Danio rerio: one gene and its partners. The protein of the gene in region 7 binds, or shares a complex with, the protein of the main gene of each other region. Links are inferred from orthologs where the notes say so. Each region holds a gene or a part of one and is shown on either strand. Other genes may lie near its edges. The genes, in order: uri1, asdurf, ruvbl1, pdrg1, dnaaf10, pfdn6 and uxt.

Region 1 (4,432 bases), on a different chromosome or scaffold from region 7:
CATTTCAATTCTAAATATAAACATGATACAAGTAATAAATCATTAAATAAGCTTCTGAGAAACATTGACATTGATGATAATGTTATGGACAACGAAACTTGCTGAACTACACGAGGACACTCACCAGTGCTCAATTTGACTTCTGCAATCTTTTACCACCTGTTGTGGAAACACAGACAATGCATCATTTCATAACTACTGAAATATTAAAAATACCACAGACAACAATTAACAACCACTGCTAAATTATCAGTAATGTTTTAGTAGCGTGAATTGGCCATCACAGAGAATGACAGTCCTGAAAGTTCCTTGTGAAAAGTGGGACAAGCCTTTACATATTATTCCCATTCATGTCATTTCTCAATAAAATCAGAGTAAATGTTACATTTTTTTTTTTTTTTGCTATTGAATGTTTTTTTTTCAATTTCCATAAAAGGAATGAGGTTATTTCAGAGTGACTGGCAAAACAATGACAGTTTCAAGGTTAATTATGTGCTAAACTACTAAAATAATGTGATGATAGTAGGTTAATTATAACTTCCAATGTAAATACTGGTGTGGAATATGCAAGATCTTTACAGATTCTACAGGTAAATGACAAGATGATGTCAAAAAAATTTAAATAAACACACAAACACACACGTTTTGTTTGGCTGTACGATATTCTGCTATATCAGCACTTGTACAGCCTTCATACTCTTCTGTATTATTCCGCCCACATAGAGTGACAGCAGATGAAAAAACTTACTACAGATTGACAAATATAAGGGTTTTGGACAACATAATGTACTTTTGAGGTGAGAATGTAGTTGTTTAGATTGCAACTTTGCAGTTTATTTATAAGGATAGTGGCAATTTTAGAATATTTATAATTTCTGAGAGACCGTTAGCCTGTCACTGAGCAAAGCATAGACGGTTGACGTTTTGCTACAGAATGGCGACAAAAACCTCGATAAGTGCTTAGGGGAGGAAAAATTCAGCAAAAATAAAAATAAAAAAAATCAAATTACAGCTGATCAAATCATTATAAATAAGTGTCACTAAGTTGATGTTTCTCTTTTGTATGTTGTAGTGCTGTATTTATACCATAGTAATCTGGTTGCATTTGCGTTGCTTTGGTTTTTTCGGGGTTAATTATTGTGATCCCCCAATCGCAACAGAGAAATACTGGGAAATCTCTAAACATTGATGGCATTTCATGCCGTTCATCCTTATAATCTTAAAATGTGAGCAAAATGACCTGTTTTGTCATCACTTTAGACATTACGCTAGAGAATCCTTTAAATACTAGCTCTAAAGTGACGTTAGTGAATTAGCACAGGTTTCTGCTGTTCTGATGTCAGGTGCAGATGTGAATAATTGCCAGAAGAAGGTAGTTCCTCATACAAAAGTGTTTTTGAGAGACTCCGGTAGTCTTATGCCACTGAACTGTTGAACTCGTGGCAGTGTGATATGGCTGTATATCGTCACTGGTGGGACACTAAGGCCAAAGGGTACCAAAAAAGAGGTACGGTTCGCTTTTAGGTAACTTTTGACATTTTAAATGGCCATAAAAGCATTCCGAATACTAGGTAATGTCAAATAGAACTTTATAATTCTAAGGTGACGAGATTATATATATATATATATATATATATATATATATATATATATATATATATATATATATATATATATATTAGACACACACAATTATAAAACAAACTTTTGTAATATAAAGAAACTAAATTTATGACAAAGTAGTAAATGAATGATAGAATGATACTGGCAGAGAATATGGATTAAAAGTTACAAATACTTTGTGTTTTGGGGTTGCACTGTAATGCTTAGGACTAGGAGTATTTTAATGTCATCAAATGATACATGTTCTAAATATACCTGCCAATATACAGTATATTCTACTTGGTATAAACTTCTGTTATGGTAAAATATTTTTTATGGGTGTCTTAAGCTAAATGTGGCCATAATAATAAATGTAATAGACAAAGCTATAATTATTATTTTGTTGCTCAGGGATTCTAAAACAGTTTTTTTTTAAAACACATCTTTGCTGTAAAGAAAGCAGGTCAAACGTAATTTTCAAATCCAGCCAACTGGGTGTTTATCTTCAACTGTGAACAAATGGGGTCAAAGACATTGTGTGTATGACATTCACCTATTCTTTTCACTCCATGCACATAGAAATGGGTCAATTAAACCTTACCTTCACAGGGAGTCGTTTCCATTTCATTGCCTACTCTAAAAGTACTTTAAGCTTTTACTTGCTCTATACATTAAGGCAACGTGGGCATGTGCCATGTGGTTGATTAAATTGGAGTTAACGTCACATGTAAAGTTTTCTACTAACATCAAGATAAGCTTCATGTAAACACATACACGTGGATTTTACAGCAAAGTATTAAAAACACATGCAAACAAAAATGCAGTAACTGCAAAAAGAAAACCAACGGCAACACGTGATACAGAGAGAACTTTCCAGAGAATGAAACGGGCAACGCTGCAAATATACAAAATAAACGACATTAAAATCGACGACAAATCTTTCAAACGCTGATGACAAATCACGTTTATGAACATCAACAATAATATCTGCAGGAATGCATTGTTGTTATGGAAATAAACATTACTCCTGACCTTCCTGTGCTCATCTTTCAACCTCTCCACGCCTCGAGGCAAATCTCTCGTACTCCGTTTGACTTTCCCAACTGCAGCCATTTGCTCGTGCATCCACAATCAAGCAAGGTTTTTGTGTGATTAAATATCCAAAACAATGAATGCTCAGGGGTTTGAAGTCCTATAGAAATGTTTATGAATGCAATGTGATGCGTTGCACTCAATTTGTCGCCTCGTAGTCATCAATGAAGCAGAACGAGTCGTCCAGTATATCGAGATTGAGACCATTTCACACGTGCATGGTACGATGTCAATCTAATCCCGAAATTTCCTCTTGTTTACAGTCCACCGACGGCCTGCTTCCCCTGCGCCATGTTCATCTAATCACGGATGTAGTACGTGCTCTGGATATCGCTCTCCTTCTACGACGCAAGCACGTGATCTCCCACTTTTGCTATTTAATTTCACTTTCATTTATAATTTTCGACTTTAAATGCTTAGCTGCAATAAATTTATTGAGTTATTCGTGGACTTAAATGATTACATGCTGAAATGAAATTAAATAAACAACTTTTAGTATTAACGCCACTCTTTAAAATTGGCAAACGAAAGTGGTCGCTTGTTGGGACACGTGTATATATACATATTTTGATAACAGTAAATGTAGGTACTGTCTAAGCGCTTTTGTTCTGTTCACTTTATATGTTTAAATGAAAACATGGGTTGATGATGAGAGGATGTAAACAATCCTCACGCCAACGTCACGTGACGTTACGAAACAGGAAGTCGTACAATTTATGATTCGACAAAAACAAAAGGCTTCTGTACAATTCAAGGAGCTTAGAATGACCATTCATGATCATTCTAAGCTCTTTGGTACAATTTCATGTAAGAAAGTTTGCTCATTACCCCACATTTAAAATAAATAAATAAATAAAATAAGAGAAGTTACATTTAAACTGATTAATAGATGCTATCCAAACCATTTGGATCTAAAAAGGCTTATGAATAATATTAACATCAACTGTCCATTTTGCTTAGAGATTCCTAAAACTTCTGTTCATTTATTTTGGAATTGGCCTCATTCAGTGACATTTTGATGTGATATTCTTGATTTTATAAAAGATTATGTGCTGGCACATTTTGCATTTACTTATAAGAATTTTTTTTTTTTTTTGGTTTCTGTAAAAGTCAAAAGGAAAGTAATACTTATTTCATAACCTGATTTTTTTGTTGGGCAAATTTCATATTCACAAAAACAAATTTTGTAAGTGTATTTTGTTTAGGGTTAGGATTTTCTTTCTTAATGTAAAATTGAAATGAAAATGTATTTTGAGTCTATTGAGGGATCAACAAACTTAAAAGCAATAAGAACAAGGACTTTATTGCAGGATTTGGCACTTATCTTGGACTAGATGACTGAAAACCCCTGGATTGTTGTTGTTGTTTGCCCTTACAAAAATAACTGCAGTAAACGAGAGCAGTAAACTGAAGTAAAACTGCAGTACAACAGCAGTAAATAGAAGTATAATTGCATATGAATTAAGTACAATTGCTATAAAAATGAAGTATAAACACAGCTCAAATGCAGTACAATAAAGTTTAACTACAGTTTAAGTTCCAGTTAACAAAACAAGTAAACTCTGTCTTTACTGCACTTGTGCAGTATGCCAATGTCTAATATGCCAATGGCGTGTTAAGTACTACACTTATGATTCAAGGGATTTGTTCTTCAACACCTTCCGAGAATATTTTGTACTTTTTTAGGGATGTATTTTTTTGGATTCAAGTAATTTTTTATTAAGAATTTTAAGAGTTA
Region 2 (4,466 bases), on a different chromosome or scaffold from region 7:
AATGGCGATGTCAGCTTTTGTTTGATTTAAGGAAACCTCCAGTGCATCCCGAGCATGTAAGTACTGCACTCTCTTACGAACGGCCTCGCTTAGAACATCAATCAGTGCACTAACCACTGCTTTCTTGTCAGTGTTTGTTAAGAATGCTTTCAGATTTTCAACAGAGGTTTGAGAGGCGTTATGATTTTGTTCAGTTGTAAGTGATGAAATGGATGTGTTCATCGGACAAACAGGGGAGGTCAGGTAAAGTCCAGAACTATTTGTGTTTAAAGAAACACATTTGGGAAGACCTTCACATTTCAATTCCGGGCTTTCAATTGGCTTGTCGTCACTGTGGAAAATCCATGGATAAAGTTCAAAAATAAATGTACCATCTAGTGAAGTGTCTGTTAGGTCAAACCTGTAAACTCCACCAGGTGGTACCTCCTGCCATTGGGATTGACTATCATCTGCTGGCTGGGAAGCAACTGATACGAGTGTGAAAAAAGCTCTTTCAGGATTGAATTTCCAAAGCAGACTTCTTCTCCCGAAAAAGTCCCTCCCGAACCAGATGCAGCGCTCAGACTTTTGGTAATAGATAAAGGCCCACGGTCCTTCGAGTTGTGATAACAAACATACAATATCTGAGGCACTGGTGGCCATTGACAGTTGATGAAGAAGAACTTTGGTGTCATTTTCTTCCTGCTCTAATTTCAGACCACCAAACACCTCTCCATTCCAGAGAAGCATATTCCCAGTGTCATCTTGAAGAGGTTGAGGGGTCAGGCAACCCCTCATATGAAGTACATGTGCAGAGAATAGGACACTGCAGTTTGAGATTTCTTTTGTAATGTCTTTGCTACAATTGGGTCCTCTGTGTTTGAGATTTTGAAGCACATTCTCCTCCAGTGGATCATGTGGTGTGGTCAAACTGACCACACAGCAGATCCCACACATGATATCACTTCACTATATATCTTGATATTCTTTCCGCATGTTATCCAGGTCCTCTGTATAACAGAATATTATGACAATGTTAGAAGAACACACTCAAAATGGTGGCATTAGTATTGTATTTATGTATCATCTATCAAAAAAGCAGAAACAACTCAAGTATAACAGAAACACTTACGTTTACAAGAGCTAAGGGTTTCTCCTTTGTCTGCCAGAAAGAATATATTGCTGTTGGGTTGCTGGGTGTACACTCTCTGTGAATATAATCTTAGTATTACTGGAATGTGATGATATCAAGTCAAGTTGAGCTTTATTGTCATTCCACTACATGTGTGATCTCGGCATGGGACGGTAACCGGTTTCAAGGTTTACCGCGGTTTGGAAAATTCAAGGTTTTAATCCCAGTAAATTGTTCTGTTATACCGTTCCCAAGTTATATGTAAAAGTTTTTTTATATATTTTTATGTGTTGTATAGAAATCTACGTTTTTCAAACTAACGAATAGAGCAGAAGTCAAAGATTTATTTTAACTATTTAGCCTGACATGTTTACTGTTCCAAAATATTATGTTCCTTAAAATAAATAATTTGTGTTCAGTGGGGAAATTATAAATGTTTGTTCTATTTTACCCATACATTTTAAAAAAGAGAGAGCAGTAATCACTTTCACAATACTGTGATACCGTGGTATTTTTATACAAGGTTATCATACCGTCAGAAATTTATACCGGCCCATGCCTAGTGTGAACATACAGAGAAACTAAATGTGCAGTCTCCCAGGACAACGGTGCTACATAAATTAATCATAAATACAAACACAACTCTGCACATAAGAGCTATTTTAAAAACCTACGCATAACTATAAGATACTTCACTATACACATGGACTGGCTATAGAAGTACTCTAGAAAATCTCCACAAAAATGGGCCAGAAATGAAACTCAGTCCTATTTGCTTCATTTACAAGTCTGCCATAAGAAGAACACTGACTTTGAGGTAAATTATCTTAAAATAATAAATTCAATAGTTCAAAGGAATTATCCAATTTGAATCCCCATGGGTTAGAAAATGGCAACAGATGATACATTTAAGGTACTTTATAAGTTGATAATTTTGTCAAGCTTAAATTCTACTTTGCTTTTAATTGATGTCAAATAAACTGTTTCACAATTACGTTTTATCTTTCATAAATTTAACTGGAAAAATATCTCTAAACATCGAAGGAACTTCTTAGTTGATATTTTTAAATGTGAATGTAATTAATATCATGGTAAGACTTTATTTTGATGGTCCCTGTTGCACATTTTTCTGACTAAAGTTGTACTGCAACTAAATGCCAGTTACTTCTCATTTGGGTATTAGTAGACTGTCTGCTTAATATCTGCTGATACTGCTGCTTTCAACATTTCACTGACTAAGAAACTTTGCAAGTACATGTCAATTTACACCAACCCCACCTGACAGTCTACTTATAATCTATTGCGAATTAGTATAGTGGAGCATAAGTTCATATATTATATTGTATGCTACACTAGAAAACATTTTAGTATATATTGCCTTCTATAGCGATGTGGTTTGACTTTGTTACATCTATAATTAAGTGAAAGCATCTGCTACACCAAATGCAGAATGACTCTTGATAATATATAGAAAGTGACAAGACGATATGACGTTACATACCCTGTTTTTCTTCAAGTTACTTAACTCGTCCACAACAATCTTTTGCTCTTTTATCTGCGAATGAATAGTTATGTTTTTAGGATCATCAAAAAACAGAAATTACTAAACATGCTTAACGCGTTTTACTGGTGTCAACTGTATACTATAAATTACAAAAAACATATATGATAGACAACCTTTTGGTTCAGCTCCTCTTTTTGTGCGCGCTCTTCTGAGGCCCCAGGCTCAGTTCGCTGTATGTTCTTGGAGGACATTGTTTATTAATACGCTTCAGATCATTTTTAGGGAAACATCTCCACGAGCAAGTAACTCGTTCGTCGCACAAGAATGACGTATGCGCCAACGACGCTTTAAAAGTGCGTCACGTAATCCTAACCCCATTATCCCCCATAAACAAAGCCTGTTAAAGAATAATGTTGGGTGGATAAATCTGCAGCATCTAAACAAAGACGCGTTGTTGAATGAAACAGGGAATCTAAGTAATGTGGTCAAATACGGTTCAAATACGTCGAATGCTTTCAAATAGAGTTTTTACCCGGATATTAACGACTTTTCATCGCGAAACAGCGGCTAGCCCATCTATCTAAACCTGATATTATCATATTATCTTATATCATATTTTGCCATTCTTCTAATGTACGATAAGATGGTAATAAACAAAGCCTATCATAGCTCTAGGCGTACATTATCTTATCCAAATATTTTGGTTTATCCTCAGTAATTTGAGAGCTATCCTAAAGAGGATTGTTTGCATTTAACTTTCAAGATGAACAAATAATGCTCATCTTAATGGAAAAATTGTTCAGGGTGTCCGCAGGGACTTTAAAAGTCTTACATTTCAAAAACAACATTTTAGGCCTTTTAAAACTTTACTTAAAAGGGTGTTACAGGTCTTAAATAATTTTAAACAGGTGTTAATTTTTTTGTCCATGTAAAGCTATTTAATCGGTACAAATAACAATTATTCTAAAAAAACAATTAACTAAATTGTATATTCTAAAACTCTTTACCAATTTGGTTCAATTATCTTTCTTAAAATAAACTTATTTTGTTTATAAATAAGTGTTTGAATTGTAATGGGGCAAGTAAAAACAAATTGCACTGGTCCTTAGAAAACAAGTTTGACATTCATTCATTCATTTTCTTTTCAGTTTAGTTCCTTTATTCATCAGGGGTCGCCACAGCGGAATGAACTACTAACCTATCCAGCATATGTTTTACACAGCGTGTGCCCTTCCAGCTGTAACCCAGTACTGGGAAACATCCATACACGCTCATTCACACTTATACACTACAGACATTTTAGTTTATTTATTTCACCTATACTTCATGACTTTGGACTGTGGGGGAAACCGGAGCACCAGAAGGAAACCCACACCAACATGGGAGAACATGCAAACTTCACACAAAAATGCCAACTGACCCAGTCAAGACTCGAACCAGCGACCTTCTTGCTGTGAGGCAACAGTGCTAACCAATGAGCCACTGTATCCCTCCTAAATTTTGTACATAGGAATAATGCTCTAAAGTGAAGCGAAGAGAGGGGTGGGGGGTTGTGCATGAACCCCGAATCATATCTCTAGGGGCCCCCAATATGCGTAAGCCCTTTAGGACTGTCCTGACCCTACCACAGGGGTGTCCAACCTTGGTCCTGGAGGGCCAGTGTCCTGCTAAGTTTAGCTCCAACACACCTGCTGGGAAGTTTCTAGTATATCTAGTAAGAGCTTGATTAGAGTTGGAGCTAAAGTCTGCAGGAAAGCGGCCCTCCGGGATTGAGTGTGGACACCCCTGCTCTACCATCTTTAAAGGACTTCACAGTCAAAAAAATAATAGTTTGGTAATAAAACAATGTCT
Region 3 (4,390 bases), on a different chromosome or scaffold from region 7:
TTTAAAATTGCATTTATTTAAACTTATTTTCCTTCAAAAATATGTTACTCATGTAATGGCGAGAATTTCCAGCATCATTACCGCAGTGTCACATGAACTTTCAGAATTAATTCTTATATGCTGATTTGGCACTCAAGAAATATTTATTTTATAGCTTAATATTTTTTCTTCTAATCTTTTTTTTTTTTTTTTTAGGATTTTTTTTAATGAACTTAAACTCCATTTATTTGAAATATAATCTTTTGTAGCATTATTATAGTCTCTTTTTCTTTGAATTCACTTAATTCATTCTTGCTTAATAAAAGTATTACGTTCTTTTAAAAATACGAGAGACAATCTCGTCCTTTATTCCACTGCCAGACTACCTGCCCACCTGTACTGACAAAAGATTACTTCAACATGCCAACTATAGAACCGCAGGAGAGAGAATAGCGAAGCATATCTGTCCATACCTTGACTGCCCCACTGTTAGCCTCGATGTAGATAACATCACCGACCTCCACTCTCTCCTTCTGCAGACTTTCATAGATGCTGGGATCCAGCTGCAGGAGAGATGAGATATGACTTCAAACAACCACATAATCAGCTTCCATCCAGCTTATCTACGAAATATAAGCATGCAGAAAAAAAACATAACAACATGCCTGCACTTCCTTACCTTCAACTGTTTGGTCCCCTTAGCTGTCTTCAAACCAATAATGACATGACTGATAGTTTTACCATAGCCTCCCATTGGGTTCTCAGTCTCACAAGGAGTCAGTTCAGTGACCTCTCCTTCATACACTTCTTTAGTCTCCTTGATACGCAGACCTGTTCGATCAAAAAACAAAACAGAACTTTAGATACTAGATTGATATAAACACTTTTAATAGTTTTTCGGTTTTACTGGCCAATACACTTTTACAAAAACCACATATTTCATTACGTAATAAAAAGCCAGAAGTGTATTTTCAATGGTTCATGCCATATATCTCTGTCAGCGTAGTAATAATGTGTGCATTCATGCATATCTCATTTGATCACATAGTCTACATTGTTTCAGAGTCATACTTGAGGGTTTCAGAGTTGAGGGTTGTGAACCAACTAGAAGAACAGTACAAGGTCATGCTCAAATCTATAGGAATACATAAAGGAAAATACAGATTTTACATGGCTTCTTTATTGTAGGGGTGTGTTATATCATCTAAAATAAAATGATATTCACTTAGTCCTGCTGTTTAATGACACGCTAGCTGACATTAATGCATGTTGCTCATTATAAAAACAAATACATATTCAGTCTAAACACTGCGGTTAAGCCTAGGACTATAAACCCTTTACTTCAAGTAAAAAAGCAAAAATATCAACAGCTCAAAAAACAGTAAGTTTACATTTCAAAACAAAAATACTGTGTTATTTTCAATTGTCAACATAATCAGTTCTGAACGGTCATACCAAAACATTTTACACATTTCAGAGCAACGATGGTATGCATTGTTCCAGAACTAATCTATTTTTAAACAAATCGAATGAGCCAAAGACTCGATTTTATATTAAAGACAGTCACTTGCTTCATTTTTAATTGAATCAGCAGTTTTGATTGAATTGATTTAATGATGGTAGGAATCACTCATTACGCAAGATAACGGCCAACAGCCTTTTTTGATTTAGATAAAGTATGTTTGAGATTTGCACATTTGTTTCATTAATGGCCCATATTTGTTTACCACGGCAAGTTGAATATTGCGTCTAAAATAGCATGCAAGGATGACTTCAAAACAATATTAGCACTATGTAATTGATTGAACAACGCTGTACTTTGATAGTCATTGACTGCTAATATGATTTCACTATTTAAAATTTGCAAAGAATACTTTTATGAAATTATATTATTAAGCAGAAAGTCTGAATGTGCGAATATATAAAAAAACTTTTCCTCTATCCTTTTTTGACAGGTTATGGTGGTGTGAGAGCTCACCTATGGCTCTTCTGAAGTTCTCCATCAGCACTTCGGTCTTCTTGATTTCTGATGAATAAACTTCGCTGCCCACCATAGGACAGAATGGCACTTTATTTCCCAACTCCTGTGCCATGGCCAGTGCTAGAGCAGTCTGTGGTGGATAGAAATCAAATGGGCAGACTATACATACTATCTTAAACAACAGCTCTGAAACTATTTTAATGTCCATTTTAATTATACAGTGCAGTGTAAATAAAACCAGTCTACCCTTACCTTGCCTGTTCCAGGCGGTCCGGCTAGCAAAATGGCTCTGCCAGCCATCTTTTTGGAACGAATCAGCTCAGTGATGATGCCACAAGCCTAACAAATATGCAAGAATTTTCTAGATGTTTATGTAACAGGATCAGTTTTTTTTTTTAAAGCCCAGGGCTAAACTACAGGCCAGAAAATGTCACATACATGAAAACATTATTTTGTTTAAAAAGTGTGATTAAAATATTCCATATATATATATATATATATATATATATGAAGAGTTCAGATGCAAAAACTTCTAAAAGCCGTCTGAAATGTTCTTCTAAAATAAACATTTTTATCAGGCTCCTGTTAGTAGGTTCAGTAATTACAAATTAAAGAATAATTAAAAAGTATGTTAATTTAATGATCTTTAAAGAGAAATAACTCATCAATAATCAATATAGAATGCTGAGATAAAAATGCTCAGCTTTAATGGAAGTTTCAGACGGTACTTAGAGGTTTTTGCATCTGAACTCTTCATATATAGCCTATGAAAGTATATGAATTTATCGTATTTACAATCAATTGTATCCAGCTCTTGACACAAGCAAATGAATTAGAAGTTTTGTATTTATTCTTCACATATAGCCAGCTACATACAAATCATTCGAGGTTATCAAATTAAAATGTTTGCTTTTCTTAATTAATGAAATAAACACGGAAATTGGTCTTTAGCTAGTGTTACCTCTCTGGCGCTTTCTTGTCCCACTAGCCCGGACGCGGACTGTTTAGCATTACCAGCCTCATCCAGACCGAGGCCCTTCACATGGCTATGAGAAGCGATGCGCTGCGTCTTGGTTGTGCTTTTTACTTCTTCGATCTTCATGTTTCTTAATAATTAATCGAACGCGCTGTGCGTGAATAAAACAACCACACGCCTGTCTCACGAGAGGCCGTTAAAATCAAACACAAGAGACCCGCGTTTCCATGAGGGTAACCAAGGCGATTTGAGGAAGTACCGTCCGCAAAACGTTTTTCAGTGGTTCTTTGTAACGATTGGTCAACTTGTGGAAACTCTGCATGACCATTGGACACTGCAACTGTCGGTCTGATCACTGTAAACCCGCCCCTATTCTTCGTGTGTGTTACATTTGAAATGTTGTGTTGGAACAAGGATCTACGCTGTGGGTTCCCATAAATAGTTTCTCTCAGAAGTGTAGATAACATAATATTTCCAAGGTGTAGATTATTTTTACTTTTAAACTAATTTATAAACAACTTTGTTCATGAGGAATGTTTCTTTTCTCAAACAAAATGCCGTGAGGCGGAACCAGTGATGTGAGATGCTGCCAGCTCAGGGATTGTTTTTTGGCAGCGCAGGAAGAGCAACTGTCAAATTTCTGAAAACTTTGCTGAATGAAGTAAGAGCCGAGGAATTTAGTTTACACTTTTATTTCTGATATCAAAGTTAATAAGTTGATATTATCAAAATTCATCAAATTACAGTAAGTTGGTTGTCTGACGACATCAAGCTGGTTGTTTTGACCAGCAGCGTCGCTGTCAGCAGTTCAAAGTCTGCGCATTCACTCTCTGTTACCCAACCGCGGTGTTGATCCAGAGATGACAGATTTTCCCAAAACACTGAACTTTAACGTCGGTGTCCTCGGCCATGTGGACAGCGGGAAAACATCTCTCGCCCGGGCGCTGAGCAGCACCGCATCCACTGCAGCCTTCGACAAGAACCCGCAGTCCAAAGAGCGGGGCATAACGCTGGATCTCGGCTTCAGTGCGTTCACGGTGCCGTTACCGGAGCACCTGAGGGAGTCCTGCGGGGAAAAACAATACGACAGTCTGCAGTTCACATTGGTGGACTGTCCAGGACATGCCTCCCTTATACGCACTATCATCGGGGGTAAGTGGGTGTATTTTTTTCAGTAAAGCAACAATTACACTAATAAAATTCACTTTGACGTGTGACTTCACGCCTTCTACGTACACAAAGCACTAGAAGTTACTGACTTACGTACTGACTTGTTTTTAATTAACTAACCAACAGAATAGTAACCTGTCAGGGCACTTTATAATCTGTGCAGCAGTACCACTTTTGATCAATAGGTGGTGTGTGTGCAGCGTTTGAAGATGCCATGTTAATCACTCTAAAGACAGAACAGACATTGTCAGGGAAAAAAATCTCACCCTCTTCCCAAACTAACA
Region 4 (4,607 bases), on a different chromosome or scaffold from region 7:
TAGTTACCTTAACCTTTTGGGTTTTACAGAGTACAAACTATTAATAATTTATATATATATATATATATATATATATATATATATATATATATATATATATATATATATATATATATATATATATATATATATATAGTCACACTTTACTATAAGGTTTATTAGTTAATGTTAATTAATGCATTTACTAACATAAACAAACAATACATTTACTACTGTATTTGTTCATGTTAGTTAACGTTAGTTAATGAAAATACAGTAGTTCATTGTTAGTTCATGTTAACTCATGGTGCATTAACTAATGTTAACAAGCATGGATTTGAATGTTAATAATGCATTAGTAAATGTTCAATAATGATTAATAAATGCTGTACATGTGTTGTTCATGATTAGTTCATGTTAGTAAATGCATTAACTAATGAACCTTATTGTAAAGTGTAGCCATAAATTTAAATATCTATGTAACAAAATAGTTTTGTAGTTTTGTTTACATGTATGCAAGTATCATAAATATATAATAAATATAAATATAATACACACACGGGCGAAGCAGTGGCGCAGTAGGTAGTGCTGTCGCCTCACAGCAAGAAGGTCGCTGGGCCGAACCTCGGCTCAGCTGGCGTTTCTGTGTGGAGTTTGCATGTTCTCCCTGCGTTCGCGTGGGTTTCCTCTGGGCGCTCCGGTTTCCCCCACAGTCCAAACACATGCGGTACAGGTGAATTGGGTAGGCTAAATTCTCCGCAGTGTATGATTGTGTGTGTGAATGTGTGTGGATGTTTCCCAGAGATGGAAGGGCATCCGCTGCGTAAAAACTTGCTGGGTAAGTTGTCGGTTCATTCCACTGTGGCGACCATGGAATAATAAAGAGACTAAGCCGACAAGAAAATGAATGAATGAATATTACACACAAACATCACAAATAAACTTTTATTTTGGATGTGGTTAATCTTTGTCCAGCACTAATATAAATGCTTTTTAAGTACATAAAAATACTAAGACGCAGACTAAATAACACGTCTTGTCTTCGGCACAGATGTTTACACCATTTATAAGTATGACTGAGCAAGAGACTGATGAAGCAGCTCTACCTTGTAGCTCATTGAGACGGTTCACTTTCGCTTTCAGTCGTGTGCGGAGGTCTGTTATTTCCTTATCAAGCTGCTCTTGGTCTGTCAGGAACAGTAGAACAGCTCATTTATTAAACACAGTGGCACATGTGAAGGGTTATTCACACAAAAGCACAGCTGAAAAAGACACACTCACCTTTCAGGATCATTGATCTGGTGCTTTCTTGAGGGAATTTGATGAACATATTTCCAAAACACACCTTTACATTATCTAGATTAGATCGGATTCAATTTTATTGTCATGTGCAGAGACAAACTTCAAATGAGAACCAGCATTAGGCAAACAAAATAAGATTACAGAGCAAATGGCATCATCTATTAGTTTTGCTCTTTGTAGAAGAAATCTGTGTTTATTTTGTTCTGAACATCTTCTTATGTAAAATACAATATGTGTTTATTGAGGTAAAGTTTGTTTTATACACACACATTCATTCATTTCAACAGTGTCAGCTTGTGACTCCCTCTCTATAATGTTTATTATGCTACTTTGAATATTTGGTCAGAAATGGCATGTAAATATGACTTCAAAACAACATCCGCTCTATTGAGCTGACTGTGAACAATACTGGACTGTGATAGTCATTGGCTGCTAATATGATTTCACTATTTATAATTAACAGTTTTCTGAATTTATATTAGGGCGACATGATGGCTCAGTGGTTAGCACTGTGGCCTGACAGCAAGAAGGTCTCTGGTTTGAGTCCCAGCTGGGTCAGTTGGTGTTTCTATGTGGAGTTTGCATGTTCTCCCTGTGTTGACTTGGGTTTCCTCCCTGGTGCTCCGGTTTCCCCCACAGTCCAGACACATGCGCTATAGGGGAACTGATCAACTACACTGGCCATAGTGTATGAGTGTGTGAATGAGTATGTATGGGTGTTTCCCAGTGATGGATTGCAGCTAGAAGGGTATCCGCTGTGTAAAGCATGTGCTGGAATAGTTGGAAAACTTAGTTCATTCCACTGTGGCGACCCCTAATGACTAAAGGGACTGAGCCCAAATGTGCCAAAAAAAAAAAAACTTTGTAAATATAAAAAAGTTGTGTGTTTTCAGTGGTTGGAGTCATGATAACTTACTTTTCTTTGTTTGAATATCCCTAATATTACATATATAATACAATCATATTAAATATTAGTAAATTATTAGATTTTGGATACCCATAGGATGATTTTTTAAACCCATATTCACAAAAAAAGGTGCAAAAATTCAAGCCATAAAAACTAAAATGACAACATAGTGAACTGAACTGATAAATCATGAGTAAAACAAGTTAATTAAACATTCTAGGGTAAATTACAAAAAATAAACCTGTAGTAAACATACCGGGGTGTTACATTAGGTGTGGTTATAAGCTTAATAACCCTATTACTGACACATTATAAATGAAATATTTATTACTTTGGAAGATACGTGTACTTATATATGTGCTTTATACGTAGTACAAGTTTTATACGCATGACACTGCATCCAACACCAAGCATATGTGCCATTAATGCATTATAAACCAGTATTCTGTAGTCTGTACTCGCCGTTTGGTGAGTTGTTTCTTAACGCGCTGAGAGCTTCTCGGTTTCTGTTTCTCCGCACATCCAGATCCACAATCTGTCACATGTCAACCACTTCAATAAACACCACATATAAAACAGAAATTACCCGATAATTGACTGCTCCTATAACTCAATCGCACCTGTTGTTTGTCGGTGAGTATGTCTTCTGCAGCAACCTCTACCTCAGTCAGATGCTCCAGTACCCGCTGCGCGCTTTCGTCCATGCTGAACTGTGCGTGTGTTATGCGCTAGACGAAATAAGTCCGACTGAGAGTGGAAACAAGTTGTGCTGTATTTTCGTTCCGGCTCACAGCGACCATCAGCTCCGACTTCAGATGTGAGATCCACAACGAGGAAAACAAACCTGATATTCGTAAAGTAAAGTAAAAAACTCTTCAGGAAAAAAAATGACTCAAAAACGCAGCAATAAGAAAACTGCTAAAACGTAACAGGAAATGCTAACTAAATAAATGTTCAACTATGGTTCAGTTTTATAAATAATTATTAATAATTATTGTCAAAACTGTCTGTATAGATGGACGTTTGCTGCTGACAAAATAAATTAAATTAAAATTAATTAAAATTAAAAAATAACATTAATAAACCGGTGAGGCGGTGGCGCAGTAGGTAGCACTGTCGCCTTACAGCAAGAAGGTCTCTGGTTCGAGCCTCGGCTGGGTCAGTTGGTGTTTCTGTGTGGAGTTTGCACGTTCTCCCCGGGTTGGTGTGGGTTCCCTCTGGGTGCTCCGGTTTCCCCCACAGTCCAAACACATGCGCTTATAGGGGAATTGGGTAGGCTAAATTGTCCGTAGTGTATGTGTGGGAATGAGTGTGTATGGGTGTTTCCCAGAGATGGGTTGCAGCTGGAAGGGCATCTTCTGTGAAAAACATATGCTGGATAAGTTGGCAGTTCATTCCGCTGTGGTGACCCCTGATTAATAAAGGGACTAAGCTGAAAAAGAAAATGAATGAATGAATGTTAATGAACCTATTAATAATCTGCATGTGTTGTGCTCAGCAGTAACTGGCAGCAGATAGTGTTTGTAAGAAAATAATCTTTTGTTTAAAATATCTGGACATACTCTGGATGTGGCTCTTGCATGTTCGAGTAACTCCTCCCATGTCAAGAGGATTGCAAAGAGCTTAAAACTGTATTTATGATCATCACAATCACCGTATGAGTCAGGCAGAGAATGAGGAAAATAACAAGTTACACACAATGTGAGATGATGGCTGCTTCTCAGTGGGATGGAGGAGCCGGGGCTAATCATGAGCAGACTCAACACTTCAAATCTTCATTTCTGAATAAATACATCACAGTATATTTATCTTCATTCACAATACAAATATAAATAAATGCATAATATTATTGTTATCGCAATATTAGTATTTGCAATATACATTCTTTTTCATTGATTGTTTATCTAAATTAGATCAATCAGATGGGGCCATAATATCTTTAGTCGCGCCTCCCCAGTAGTGGCTGTTCTGTTATTGGCTGGAGTGTCCTGAACCCAGAGCTGAAAATAAACACTTATGGGTGGAGTCCAGAAAGGAGAATGACAACAGCCAATCAGAGTCAGAATATCTGCATATCAGGTTTTCACTCATTCGTAGTGTTTTAAAGACTAAATGTTTGCAGCTCGACACGTTGCTGTTGTTGTTTTAGTTTGAATTAGAATTAATTAGATCTGAAAAATAACATTTTTGCCTGTACATTTTAAAATCATTAAATCAATAAATGATTTAGAAACAGCAAATAAAATAGCGTTTTTACATGGAAATAATATGTGATTGGAAATATCGTTATGGTAACACTCAACAACAATATCCCATAGTTTTGCAGTGTCATGCAGCCAGTGTAAACTCTATGGACCCTTTTCACAAGACTCTAATGAAGCGTTTAATGAGGTGTCATCAGCATCTTAAATCCCTGAAA
Region 5 (4,672 bases), on a different chromosome or scaffold from region 7:
TACCCAGTAAATACTCTTAGTAAGATATAAGATATTGATGCTAATTGTTTATTTTGTAAGCAACACCCTGAGTCTCGTTCGCTTATGTTGGCAATGCAGATACTCTAATTTCCTTTGGAAAAGCTTTCTCTCTTTTTGTAATTGAGAATGTTGATGCAGACTTTTCTTTACTATGGGAAAATGTTTTGTTTGGCTTTATCAGTTAAAAAACCGAAGCTTGACATATTTTTTTTTCTTAACCTTCTTATCTTACTAACAAAACCTTATATACATACATGTAAATTTTCCAACCAAAAACCTGTTTTCATATATTTTGCTTACTGAATTGCAGTAATACTATGAAACTATTTCTTACTCACAGTCTTTAAAAACAACTGAAATTTGTCAGTTATATAATCGTTTTCTTTAATGTGTGATTTATATACCCCTTTTGTTATATATATACCCCTTATATATACCCTTTTTGCTGTTATTTTTCTAATTAGGGGCCAAGCACCGTAGGTGCGTAGGCACCTATTGGATCCGTTAGCGTTCCTATTATTATTATTCTTCTTGTTTGTTTGTTTGTTTGCTTTATTTATAGAGCACATTTAAAAACAACAGATGTTGACCAAAGTGCTTTACAAAACGACCAGCATACAAAATCTATACCTATATATAAAAAATTTGCAAAATATATAAAACAGATTAAAATTAATTACAATCAAAGGCAAGAGACAGAAGGTGATTTTTTAGATGAGACTTAAAAGCACCAAGTGAAGAACATGACCGGATCTGTAAAGGCAGACCCTTCCATAGTCGGGGGGCTGCAGCAATAAAACCCTTTCACCTCTTGATTTCAACCGCGTTTTGGGGACAACTAGCTGAAACGTGTTTTCGGACCTGATTGGCCTCAATGAAGTGTGCCAGTGAAGAAGCTCAGAAATGTAAGTCGGTGCCAGACCATTCAAACTTTTAAAAACTAGAAGCAATAATTTATATTGAATTCTAAATTGGACTGGGAGCCAGTGAAGAGACAATAAAACTGGTGAGATACTAGAGGATTTTTTTGTCCCAGTTAAAAGCCTAGCAGCTGCATTTTGAACCAGCTGCAGGCGTGCTATTGATGCCTGTGAAACTCCAGAATACAAAGAGTTACAGTAGTCCAGTCTTGACATAATAAAAACATTAATGACAGTTTCCAGCTCTTTAAAAGAAAGAAAAGGCTTCAATTTGGCAATGTTCCCTAATTGATAGAAACCACTTTTGACAACTGAGTTTATTTGCTTGTCAAACTTTAACTCAGTGTCAAAAGTAACTCCAAGATTTTTTACGTGACTGTGGACCTTAGGCTTGATCGAACCTAATTTATTAATTGTAGATTCACAGACACTCGGAGGACCAAACACTAGTACTTCAGTTTTTGATTCATTCAAGTGTAAGAATTCTTCTTCCATTTCTTCCACCGGATATGAATGGCAGCCCATATAGGCGTATGCGGGAAAGTTGTATAATTTGGCACAATGATAGAGGACAGTCTTAACATTAATCAGACCAAATGTGAAGTCTCAAAATCAAACTCTCTAGCGCCACCACTTGTCCAAACTTTCACGTATGTTTATCATAATAACTTTTGAACCGAATGGGCTACAATCAAAATTCCGCTGACTCCTTGGCTCAGTCCGATTCAAACGCACCCTATGACATCATTTTCCGTCATGAATTTTTTCGCGCTATTTTAAATTTTTCGAAAAACCTATTTGATCGAACTCGTCCTAGGCCGTTTCTGCGATTTTCACCAAAATTGAATCACATGATCTACAGACCATGCCAACCAAGAGTTATGGAATTGAAGTTGATTAGACCAACTGTTTTCGCTTAACTTGCGATCAAATTTAACGTAGAACTTGCGAAAATGGACTTGAGACGATATCTCTGTAACGCATTCACCGATTCACACCAAACTTGGTGTGTGTTATGACAACTAGGGTCCGAGGTTATATGCTGAGTTTTGGCACATTGCCCCCTAGTGGTCCGGAGATACAAAAAACTTGATTTTTGGCTTATAACGTCTCAACCTTTCGTCCGAAACTGATAAAACTTGTCTCATTACATCCGGCAGAGCATGTCGAGTCGAATGATGTCTGATTTTCACAGGTCAGCCATTTTGGGCGTCGCCCATTTCGATTTTTGGCCAAAAACACTATATTTTACCAACATATTCACATATCATTACAAAACATGGTATTCATCTTCAACCCCATGCCCTAAAAGTACTCAAAAATTAAATATATATATATATATATATATATATATTATATATATATATATATATATATATATATATATATATATATATATATATATATATATATATAAAATTAAATATAATTTTAAAAAAGTGTTTCCGCAGACTGTTTTTATTAAGTCTGATTACATCAAACACAATTAATTCATCTTTACCATTAGAGGCTGGAGATATTCACAAACTGCTGACACACAACTGGGGTTAAACCCCTTATAAAAGGGATTTTTGCATAATAGATCATGAATAAATCTCTATTTTTAACTGATCCCTGACTAGTCTTATAGTCATGATTCACATGTGTATTGTGGATGAATATGAACTATGACGGTGAAGTAAACGTTAATAAACGCGTTGTAAACAGAGACTGAGGCAGTTGAGTTTTGTCGCCATGGCAACCGCGCCTCAGGACTTTTCTAGAAAGCGCCGAACTGGCTTAGCTAATAAACAGCAAAGCTTTTCAGCAGTTTGATTTGTGCTTCAGTGAATATATACTATGAAGAGACCTGACCTCTCTGACCAGCTGCAGCTCCCCGTGCTGGATCTCGTAGATCTGCATCACTCCGGTTCCTCTCGCGAAGTTTCCCATACAAACAAACTTGGCGCTGCACGGAATCCATTTGCTCTCGAACACCGTGTAGTTCAAGCTCTTCTGGATGTGCGCGATGATCTGCGGCTTCTCGAGAGCTGCTGACATGATCTGTGCTCAATATGAAACTAAAATCTATCAGTTTGAGCAGAAGGAAAGAGATGTCAGTTGCGCTGTTTGCTTCTTCTTTGTTTCAATGGCTGTTGACAACCCTCTTAAAAGCTATACTTCCGCCACCTGGTGGATTGGTGTGGGTTTTTGCTAAAAGGGATACAGCTGCGGTCGAGAATTATTTATATTATTTAACTACACATCTATTGTATTTTATTAACATCAACCCCAACCCTAAACCCAATTCTGACAGTATTATTTATTAAATAACCTATTAATTGTATGTTATTACCATATTTCCATCTACCCCTACCTCAACAATAAACCCAAACCTCACAGTAATGCAAAAACAGCAATTAAACAGAGTATTAGTCATATTATTTCATAAATTAACCATTAATTTTATTGTATTAACGTCTATCTCTACCCCAAACCTAAACCCAACCATAACAGTAATGTAAAAACAGGTATACACAGTATTAGTCATATTATTTATTTAATTACCCATTCATTGTAATTTATCAATGTCTACCCCCACCCCAGTAATGGAAAAAGTAATAATACAAAGTATTATTCATATTTTTTATAACATTACCTATTAAATTGAATTTTTATTAACATTTACCCCTTTTATCACAGTAATGTGAAAATATTAATTATTGTTGTAGTGTTACACAAATTATGTCATATTGATGTACCTGCAACTGCATCCCTTCTAGACTTCACTGTTTTTTTTACTGGATACTAGTAATATATAACAGAATAAAATGTATTTTACACACACACACACACACATATATATATATAATCTTTATAGTTCATTCTCCTTAAATTCCATTTATTATACCTATTGCATTTCACTGATTTATAATCGCAAAATACACTTCATATTGTTCTGGGGCATTTCTTAACATATTCTTAATTGTTATATTCTCAATTTTCAATAGACTGAACTTTGTTGCTCTTATACCGAGTGCTTTTGTTATTGTTTTTTAATTCACCCCAATTTATTGCTTAACATATTCTTAAATTAAAGGGACTAAGCCAACAAGAAAATGAATGAATGAATATTCTTAAATTCTCATTTGTTTTAAACTTAATTCTCCATAAGTTTCACTCATTTAGTATTCATAATTTCTAATAATATGTTTCTCTATCTGCACTGCTCCACATTTATTAACATTTCCTGATTCACGTTTTACAATAATGAATGTCTGGTAGGTGCTGTCTGTGTTTATCTATCTATCTATCATGTTTGTCTGTCTATCCATCCATCCGTCCGTCTATATCTGTCTGTCTATCCGTCCATCCTATCTATCTATCTATCTATCTATCTATCTATCTATCTATCTATCTATCTATCTATCTATCTATCTATCTATCTATCTATCTATCTATCTATCTATCTATCTGTCTGTCTGTCTGTCTGTCTGTCTGTCTGTCTGTCTGTCTGTCTGTCTGTCTGTCTGTCTGTCTGTCTGTCTGTCCGTCCAATAGTATATTTATAGGCTACACGTGAGCTCTCCGGTGTTTTCCTACAGCGTGAAGGACCCTCAGAACATAGTTGACCCACATTTAGCCTAATCAAAATGAACAAAAAAAATCTTCACAACTCAAAATAACTCAAATGTTTTTTTTAATTTAATAAATTCGAATTAAATCTAAACATTTTAAAACAATTACCTTAG
Region 6 (4,408 bases), on a different chromosome or scaffold from region 7:
TATTTTTATAATTTAAAAATAACATGTATATAAGAAATTGCTATGTTTTTAGTAATGGAAGGGAACAAAACATTTTTTAAATTATATTTAGCATTATTAGAGTTTCAAAATAGACATCACACTTATTTATAACATTTTATGAAATATAACTACATGTGTCACAAACCATTAAATGTCAACAAATACCCTTCTAATATTTTAATACAATATAAAGATATCTTCATGTTAAAAGCTAAACCATGATAGATTAGAATATGTTTCATTTTTACACTATATCTCACACTTTTTGGATAATGTTTTCTGAAAAATATGAATACATGATATGTCTGTTATTTTAAAAAGAAATCAAACACATTAAAGTGAAAGTTTACACAAGTACAATACACTGGTCTGTTTTATAATATGTAGTAATATTATAATTTTGCCTTTCATTAAATATTTTAATTTTAAAATATTTGAGCAATCATGAGACATTAAAATCAAAGCAATTACATATTTTCTATTATCAATAAAATCTATTTTTAATTTAAAATCTAAAGCTTATAATAAGCTACAGTATTATCATTACTGGGCAGCATGGTGGCGCAGTGGGCAGCGCAGTCGCCTCACAGCAAGAAAGTCGCTGATTCAAGCCTCGGCTGGGTCAGTAGGTGAACTGGGTGAGCTAAATTGTTTGTAATGTATGTGTGTGAATGATTGTGTATAGTTTACTAGTGATGGGTTACAGATAGAAGGGCATTCGCTGTGTAAAACGTGCTGGATAAGTTAGCGGTTCATTCCGCTATGGCAACCCCAAATTAATAAAGGGACTAAGCCGAAAAAAATGATGAATGATTTATCATTACTGAAAGTTTTAAAGGTTGATATTGTTTTTATTTCATTCATTTTCTTGTGGGCTTAGTCCCTTTATTCATCCAGGGTCGCCACAGCGGAATGAACCGCCAACTTACCCAGCAAGTTTTTACGCAGCAGATGCCCTTCCAGCCGCAACCCATCTCGGGGAAATGTTTATATTTAATGTTATTTTATTTATATATATTTAATATATATATATATATATATATATATATATATATATATATATATATATATATATATATATATATATATTATCACTAAATTAAATAAAAACAACATCAACATCAACATCAAAGTATGTTGTATACTGTAAACTCGCAGACTTTTTTCGTCACATCCATAACACATGTTTATTTATTTATTTAAAATGTATTTAATTTTTTAAAAATTTACAGATTGATTTTTTCTGCTCCCATGACTCTGTGGTTGGTAGCTTCTCTGGGAATTCATGTTTTGAAATGTGTGTATATGTATGTATATGTATGTATGTATGTATGCATGCATGCATGCATGCATGCATGCATGTATGTATATATATATATATATATATATATATATATATATATATATATATATATATATATATATATACATACACACACACATACATACATACATATATACATACATACATATATACATACATACATATATATATGCATTATTTGGTATATGTTTTTTGAACAATCATGATTTATAAAATCTCAAATTAATTATATTTATTCTAATTTAGTTAAAACTTTTTATTTATTCAAAGATATGTTGCAGGAAATGTGCAAGTGTACACTGGTATAACTTGGCTATATGAATATTCATAATGGTGTTACTATAAATACCAAGAAACTTACACAATGAATCATAAAATAAAATAAAATAGTAAAAGCCTTTTTAAAACGTTCAATAATGAGAATTTGTAGATTGAATGTGGATTTTGTCTAAAATAGCTCTGGGTAGCTAAATCAAGTCCAAATACAACATAACCGTGACATTTGTACTTTATCAGTGCATTGCACTACATAGATATTAAACCTGAATACAACAAATTACTACAAATACGTTAAATATAAATTATTAAAGGAGCACACACATACATATATACACACACATACATACATACATATATACATACATACATATATATATGCATTATTTGGTATATGTTTTTTGAACAATCATGATTTATAAAATCTCAAATTAATTATATTTATTCTAATTTAGTTAAAACTTTTTATTTATTCAAAGATATGTTGCAGGAAATGTGCAAGTGTACACTGGTATAACTTGGCTATATGAATATTCATAATGGTGTTACTATAAATACCAAGAAACTTACACAATGAATCATAAAATAAAATAAAATAGTAAAAGCCTTTTTAAAACGTTCAATAATGAGAATTTGTAGATTGAATGTGGATTTTGTCTAAAATAGCTCTGGGTAGCTAAATCAAGTCCAAATACAACATAACCGTGACATTTGTACTTTATCAGTGCATTGCACTACATAGATATTAAACCTGAATACAACAAATTACTACAAATACGTTAAATATAAATTATTAAAGGAGCCGAACATAAAGATGATTGAGGTAAAGTTGGTTTTATATTCGCACATTCGTTCAGTGAAAACTTGTGACATCCCTACATTGTTTACCATGGTGATTTTGATAGTCAATGGCTGCTAATATGATTTTACCATTTAGAATTGACAAAAATACTTTAATAAGATTTTTAGAGAGAAAGCCAATTTACACAATGAGGTAAAGTTGGTTTTATATTTACACATTCAGACTTTCTCCTATTAAAAATTCCGAAAAGTATTCTGTAGTTAGCAAATCCTAAATAGTGAAACCATATTAGCAGACGATGGCTATCAAATTACACCATTATTCAGTCAAATAAATAGTGATAACGTTAATGTAGTCTTATTTACATGTGATTTCAGACCGAATATTCAAAGTACCATGGTAAACAATATAGGGAGCATGCCACACATTGTCACTGAACGAATGTGCGAATATAAAACCAACTTTGCCTCAATATAAAGATGCCCATGCAGGGAGTGTTGGATTGCTAACTCTGAGCTTTTCGTGCTGTAAGTTACCTTTCTGGAGTTGTTGATATTTCTCCAACTCAGCTTGCAATTTCTTCTGAATCGCTTCAGCCATCACACCTGCTATTCCAATGTCTGACTTATTATTATTGCTAAATAATAAAAATCACGATATTTTATGACAAATGCAGACAGTCAGCAGCACACTACTCAAGCACACAGTCTGAGGCGCACGGGAAATGACGTCATATCATTGCGTCACATGGGGGTTTTACGATAGCTGATAAAAAGAGTTACTTCGCCATCTAGTGTTTAAGAAAAACATACACAATTTTTTTCAGTATTATGTTTATTCACACACCTTTAAATAATTTGCTCTATAATTTTACGCACCATATGTAGATTTAACGCATCAGTTAATGTGATTTTTGGATTAATACGATGGGTACAATTTTTCCAGTATCTAAAAGCGTAGTGCCTCTCCTGTCCATGTGGTGTCAGTCTATCCTCTTCCTCCAAGCCCTCTGTAGTGACAGTCAAGGCAATATGGCAGCGCGCATGGTTCAAATTCTAACGTGAAGGTCTTTTTTCGGGTGTGCGCGACCACATAGAATCACAACAGCAGGTAAAGTCAGTTATATATTTTTTCTATAACACAAGCAAATGTAATGACTGTTCTAAATCTGCACCTTAAGCAGCGTTTTAAACATATGTAGGGTAAAATAGTATCATGTGCTATATTCATCTATTACGAGAATGAACCATGGTTTAAAGAGTTAAGTGTAATCATACTTTTTTTGTCGTATCGATTGTTATTTATAACCACAGTATTACTGAAAGTACTACAGTTTAGCTGGGGTTAGTGTAACAAAACCATGTTGATTTGAGGTTACCATGGTTAGTTTTTGTGGTAAAACCATGGTTAATTTTCGTAATAGATGTCATGATGTTTTAACTTTATCGATATTTGCTAGTAACGTTATTCTTCTTCTTGTGATTCTTCAAAACTTTTTTTATTTTTTTCAATAAAAAAATCAAATTTTCTAAGATGACAAACAAACAAACAACCATTAACCACCATTTAACCATAGTATCTGTGGTAAACCTGTAACGTTAGTTACACTAATAATATGTCTGTCAAAACACGCGCACACACACACTTCCCTTGGTTCAATTTCATAAGGGCAGGAATGAAATAATAGAATAAAACATAAATAATTCATAAATTCTATTGTTTTGTCAGGCAGTCATTTTGAGTGTGGCTATTTTTGCTTTTTTCTATAATGAACCTGATATCTTTGCTGTGAGTTGAATGTGTATTATGAAATGTGTTCATGGTTTTAGAGTTATGACAGAGGTTGTCACTTTGTAAAATTCATATAAAACATTTGTATGATGATTAGTCCTCTGAACCTGCAATTTTAGTTGAAGAAATCACTTTTTTTGGACACTTTAATCTCAGTTGTTTTGATTATGCTTGTTACTTGTGGGAGCGACACA
Region 7 (4,447 bases):
ACCCCGCAGATACCCTGACCCTGACCTTCTTTGCTTTCAGGAACTTTGATGTAGAGGCTGAAGTATGAGAAGGAGCGCTATCCTGCTGAAAAATTTGCCCTCTCCTGTGGTTTGTAATGTAATCTGCAGCACAAATGTCTTGATACCTCAGGCTGTTGATGTTGCCATCCACTCTGCAGATCTCTTGCACGCCCCCGAACTGAATCTAACCCCAAAACATGATTTTTTCTTTACCAAACTTGACTGATTTCTGTGAGAATCTTGAGTCCATGCGGGTTCCAATAGGTCTTCTGCAGTACTTGTGATGCAGTTCAACAGATGACTCATCAAAAAAAAAAAATCTACCTTTTGCCACTTTTCCAAATGATCAACTAGTTGTCAAGTTATTATTTGTTGCTCTTACAACTGGGATTGACAACAAGACTTTTGTCGGGCAGTGTAGAACAAGAATCATTTGATGACATTGTACTGAAATATCAGTGCAGCCCCCAAAATTAATTGATTTGTTAATTAGTCAGGTTTTATAAAAATTCTGAACTTAGGATTTCTCATAGTTAATTACACATGTTTATTTATTCATATAAAGGGTACTTGGAATATTTCTACACTACTTACTCAGCAATCAGAACTGATTTTATTTTAATTCTGAACGTAACAGATTGATTGATGTTGTTTCTGAACTCCAGATAGTGATTATTGTTGTTTAATGTATCTGTTTATATCTAAACACCTGTATTTTTGATTCTCACCTGTCAGACACCTGCTGCAGATCCACTTTCTTCTCATTATGGATGAGTTTAGTGATGTAATGCCGCAAAACTCCGACGAAGAATGTGATGAAGACTATGGGCAAAACAACCCAAAGGCGAATACTGGAGTCTAGCAGCAGCTCTGGACCTGCCATTTCTATGCTGACTGAAATCGAACTATAAACACTGACACTTCTAAAGTTTTTTTAAATGAATATTCAATTCTGGAATTAATACTACGATGAAAAGTCAAACGGTGGTGTAACTACATAACTTTTAGACACATTTCTGTATGAACATGCGCCATTTGAGCAGCTGCCGTATGACCTTTGAACTAGTAGCGATTCAAACACGAGTCGTTTTGATGAGTCGGATCTTTGAAATGAATTGTTCGAATCGTCTTACACCGGTTTAGGTGGTTTGTGCACGAAATGAACACTCTGAACCGAGTCTATTTTGTACCGAGTCACTTTAAAACTTGACAGTTTTTATTCGCAGACATAGTAAATACAGATATTTTATGAAATTGGGTATATATAGCTCTAATAAAATCTTTGAAGCAATCAGGTATTTTAATTAACACGTTTTGAATGAGAAAGAATTTGTTGGAAGTTGCGTCAACGCTTTAAATTATATTGTATTTACAAATATATTTGTCTTATTGAGAGAATTGTTCTAATAGGTAAACATTAATTAAATAAAAACGAAACGTAGATGTTCATTATAGGAAAACTATAAAACAAAAGTTTAGCTAACGCCATTTCCGGTTTAGACCGAGGACGTTTCCGCGTATCTTGTAAACAAGTGTGGAGCCACGTGACAGACCGAAGGAAGGTTTAGCTTCATTTAACGTACTCGATACTTCATATATTTGCTACTACAATATATTAATCTGTCATATGTAAGCTTTAATCGCTGCATCAGCCCAGCGACGTGCTGTTAATGTTTGATGCACATTAATATTAGAAACATCGATTGCTATTAAATAAAACTTCGATCTGTTATCATCTCATATCATGACTTCTGGCACATCTGTTATTAATGACAAAGTCTTGCAGTATGAGACATTCATCAGTGAAGTATTAAGACGAGACCTGCAGTAAGTATCATTTAATATGGATATTTTGCACGTACACGAAGCTGCCATGGTATTAACGTTACCATGCTTGTACGTTAATTCCATACAAATACAGCTCTATGCTAATCTATATTGTTTAAGCTAATCTATTATGAAATGCTACTATGTGTTCTGGAAACATTATGTACGCTTGTCCAAAGTACTTGTTTAAATGAGCTGAATCAACACGATTCTTGAGTTTTTTTTAGCACAACTACATTTTTTTATTTCAGTTTACTTAAATTTGTAAAAACAATAAAGTTAACTTGATCGATTTGTGTTGGGACAAGATGAAGGAATTAATAACCCTGTGGAACCCAGTATAAGGAACACTATAGTACTTTATTGTAATTTTAATGGTGTTTTTAAACAATACTATAGTAAAGTGAATTGTACTATACACACACCAGCCACTTTATTAGGTACACCTTTCAAGTCCCGGGTCGAACCCACTTTTGCCATCAAAACTTTCTTAATCCTTCGTGGCATAGATTCAACAAGGTACTGGAAATACTCCTCGGAGATTTTGGTCAATATTGACATGATAGCATCACGCAGTTGCTGCAGATTTATCGGCTGCACATTCATGATGTGAACCACCAGTTCCACCACATCCCAAAGGTGCTCTATTGGATTGATGTCTGGTGACTGTGGAGGCCATTTGAGTACAGTGAACTTATTGTCATGTTCAAGAAACCAGTCTGAGATGATTTGCGCTTTATGACATGGTGCGTCCTGCTGGAAGTAGCCATCAGAAGATGGGTACACTGTGGTCATTAGGGGTTGACAGCAACAATACTCAGGTAGGCTGTGGTGTTAAATAAATTATCCCCCACACCATTACACCATCACCACCAGCCTGAACAGTTGATGCAAGGCAGGATGGATCCATGCTTTCATGTTGTTGATGCCAAATTCTGACCCTACCATCTGAATGTGGCAGCAGAAATCAAGACTCATCAGACCAGACAACGTTTTTCCAATCTTCTATTGTCCAATTTTGGTGAGCCTGTGTGAATTGTAGCCTCAGTTTGCTTTTTTATCTGACAGCAGTGGCACCAAAGAGTGGTCTTTTACTGCTGAAGCCCATCCGCCTCAAGGTTTGATGTGTTGTGCATTCAGAGATGCTCTTCTGCATACCTCGGTTGTGACGAGTGGTTATTTGAGTTACTGTTGCCTTTCTATCAGCTTGAATCAGTCTGGCCATTCTCCTCTGACCTCTGGCATCAACAAAGCATTTGCACCCACAGAACTTTTTTTTCCCTTTGCACTATTCTCTGTAAACCCTAGAGATGGTTGTGCGTGAAAATTCCATTAGATCAGCAGTTTCTGAAATACTCAGACCAGCCCGTCTGACACCAACAACCATGCCACATTCAAAGCCTCTTAAATCACCTTTCTTCTCCATTCTGATGTTCGGTTTGAGCTGCAGCAGATCCTCTTGACCATGTCTGCATGCCTAAATGCATTGAATTGCTGTCATGTGATTGGCTGAAACTTTCGTTAACGAGCAGTTGGACAGGTGTACCTATTAAAGTGGCCGGTGAGTGTATGTATTATATTATTTAGTATATGTAAGTATATAATAAATATTGTGAACTGTTAAACTGTAATGGTGTGCTTCAGTATTTACTATAGTAAACCCTGTAGTTGTAGAAAACCACAGTATTAGTTGTTTGTTTATAATGCTATAGTTGTGTTAATAACTATAAAGTCACCACAAAATATTAATTCAAGTACTATACTATAATATGATTCAAAATACTATAGTATTTACAATAAATACATTAGTATTTTTTCATGTAAGTTCTTTTTGCTCCACCAGGAAAGTGGTGGAGCAAAAGAGATGCTGTGGATGAGAAAATACGGCAATACCTGCAGCTGAAGAACACAATATAATAAAATATAGTTCAAGAACACTATAGTATTTACCATAAATTACTATAGTATTTTTTCATTTGAGTACTCTCTGCTCTGCCAGGAAAGTGCTGGAGCAAAGAGATGCTGTGTATGAGAAAATCGCACAATACCTGCAGCTGAAGAACACAATACAAAGCATTCAGGTATGTGAGATTTGCATATGTATTTGCATATTTTGTGCTTATTCTTATGTCCTGACTTATTTGTTTTCAGATATAGTTTGTGCTGTGTAAAAAATTTTTACATTTACTATTACTGTCCATCTCAGTTGCTCTCATTCTGCCTTGTGCGCTTTTAATATGTGGCTGTGTTTGATTCACCTTCAGGAAAGCGGCAGCAAAGAACTGAAAACCGATGTTGACCTTGGCTGCAATTTCTATGTGCAGGCTCATGTGTAAGTGTTGTTTGCATGACGTCTGTGGTGCTGTGCGTCAGTGGAGATGTTGAACATTTTTTGAAAGGGCAATCTCATTTCTTTTTTTCCAGACCTGATGCATCAAGAATATATGTGGCAGTCGGATATGGATTCTTTGTCGAATTCACGCACGCAGAGGCTTTGAAGTTCATTGAAAAGAAGACAAATCAGCTCACAGAGTAAGAGGATTTTAGTAGTGCTGTCAAACGATCGAGATTATTTGCATCAAAATTAAAAGTTTATATT

What was found.
Region 1: uxt (region 7) and uri1 share a complex: the UniProt entries of both Homo sapiens proteins name them as parts of the PAQosome complex. The link is inferred for Danio rerio from reciprocal best matches to the Homo sapiens genes UXT and URI1.
Region 2: uxt (region 7) and asdurf share a complex: the UniProt entries of both Homo sapiens proteins name them as parts of the PAQosome complex. The link is inferred for Danio rerio from reciprocal best matches to the Homo sapiens genes UXT and ASDURF.
Region 3: uxt (region 7) and ruvbl1 share a complex: the UniProt entries of both Homo sapiens proteins name them as parts of the PAQosome complex. The link is inferred for Danio rerio from reciprocal best matches to the Homo sapiens genes UXT and RUVBL1.
Region 4: uxt (region 7) and pdrg1 share a complex: the UniProt entries of both Homo sapiens proteins name them as parts of the PAQosome complex. The link is inferred for Danio rerio from reciprocal best matches to the Homo sapiens genes UXT and PDRG1.
Region 5: uxt (region 7) and dnaaf10 share a complex: the UniProt entries of both Homo sapiens proteins name them as parts of the PAQosome complex. The link is inferred for Danio rerio from reciprocal best matches to the Homo sapiens genes UXT and DNAAF10.
Region 6: uxt (region 7) and pfdn6 share a complex: the UniProt entries of both Homo sapiens proteins name them as parts of the PAQosome complex. The link is inferred for Danio rerio from reciprocal best matches to the Homo sapiens genes UXT and PFDN6.

The regions. Positions count from the first base shown.
Region 1 is NC_133193.1:16,045,285-16,049,716, reverse strand, and holds the start of uri1 (unconventional prefoldin RPB5 interactor 1), read right to left. Parts: upstream 3,003-4,432; 5' UTR 2,716-3,002; coding exon 2,635-2,715; exon of another isoform or gene 2,231-2,634; coding exon of another isoform or gene 2,204-2,230; intron 160-2,203; coding exon 125-159; intron 1-124. UniProt on the Homo sapiens protein: Involved in gene transcription regulation. Acts as a transcriptional repressor in concert with the corepressor UXT to regulate androgen receptor (AR) transcription.
Region 2 is NC_133184.1:42,816,220-42,820,685, forward strand, and holds asdurf (ASNSD1 upstream open reading frame protein), read right to left. Parts: upstream 2,942-4,466; 5' UTR 2,867-2,941; coding exon 2,789-2,866; intron 2,667-2,788; coding exon 2,613-2,666; intron 1,188-2,612; coding exon 1,112-1,187; intron 990-1,111; coding exon 949-989; 3' UTR 937-948; downstream 1-936. Other genes in the region: asnsd1 (asparagine synthetase domain-containing protein 1), read right to left, coding at 1-936.
Region 3 is NC_133181.1:43,388,327-43,392,716, reverse strand, and holds the start of ruvbl1 (ruvB-like 1), read right to left. Parts: upstream 3,210-4,390; 5' UTR 3,063-3,209; coding exon 2,922-3,062; intron 2,300-2,921; coding exon 2,213-2,299; intron 2,091-2,212; coding exon 1,958-2,090; intron 811-1,957; coding exon 659-810; intron 543-658; coding exon 453-542; intron 1-452. Other genes in the region: eefsec (selenocysteine-specific elongation factor), read left to right, coding at 3,797-4,088. UniProt on the Homo sapiens protein: Possesses single-stranded DNA-stimulated ATPase and ATP-dependent DNA helicase (3' to 5') activity; hexamerization is thought to be critical for ATP hydrolysis and adjacent subunits in the ring-like structure contribute to the ATPase activity.
Region 4 is NC_133186.1:391,978-396,584, reverse strand, and holds the start of pdrg1 (p53 and DNA damage-regulated protein 1), read right to left. Parts: upstream 2,928-4,607; 5' UTR 2,893-2,927; coding exon 2,809-2,892; intron 2,724-2,808; coding exon 2,651-2,723; intron 1,336-2,650; coding exon 1,261-1,335; intron 1,167-1,260; coding exon 1,086-1,166; intron 1-1,085. UniProt on the Homo sapiens protein: May play a role in chaperone-mediated protein folding.
Region 5 is NC_133188.1:1,036,279-1,040,950, reverse strand, and holds the start of dnaaf10 (dynein axonemal assembly factor 10), read right to left. Parts: upstream 3,004-4,672; 5' UTR 2,982-3,003; coding exon 2,796-2,981; intron 1-2,795. UniProt on the Homo sapiens protein: Key assembly factor specifically required for the stability of axonemal dynein heavy chains in cytoplasm.
Region 6 is NC_133189.1:35,059,997-35,064,404, forward strand, and holds the start of pfdn6 (prefoldin subunit 6), read right to left. Parts: upstream 3,060-4,408; 5' UTR 3,024-3,059; coding exon 2,960-3,023; intron 1-2,959. UniProt on the Homo sapiens protein: Binds specifically to cytosolic chaperonin (c-CPN) and transfers target proteins to it. Binds to nascent polypeptide chain and promotes folding in an environment in which there are many competing pathways for nonnative proteins.
Region 7 is NC_133183.1:10,252,794-10,257,240, forward strand, and holds the start of uxt (protein UXT), read left to right. Parts: upstream 1-1,547; 5' UTR 1,548-1,765; coding exon 1,766-1,848; intron 1,849-3,847; coding exon 3,848-3,929; intron 3,930-4,112; coding exon 4,113-4,180; intron 4,181-4,272; coding exon 4,273-4,380; intron 4,381-4,447. Other genes in the region: zgc:86609 (ER membrane protein complex subunit 3-like), read right to left, coding at 750-904. UniProt on the Homo sapiens protein: Involved in gene transcription regulation. Acts in concert with the corepressor URI1 to regulate androgen receptor AR-mediated transcription. Together with URI1, associates with chromatin to the NKX3-1 promoter region.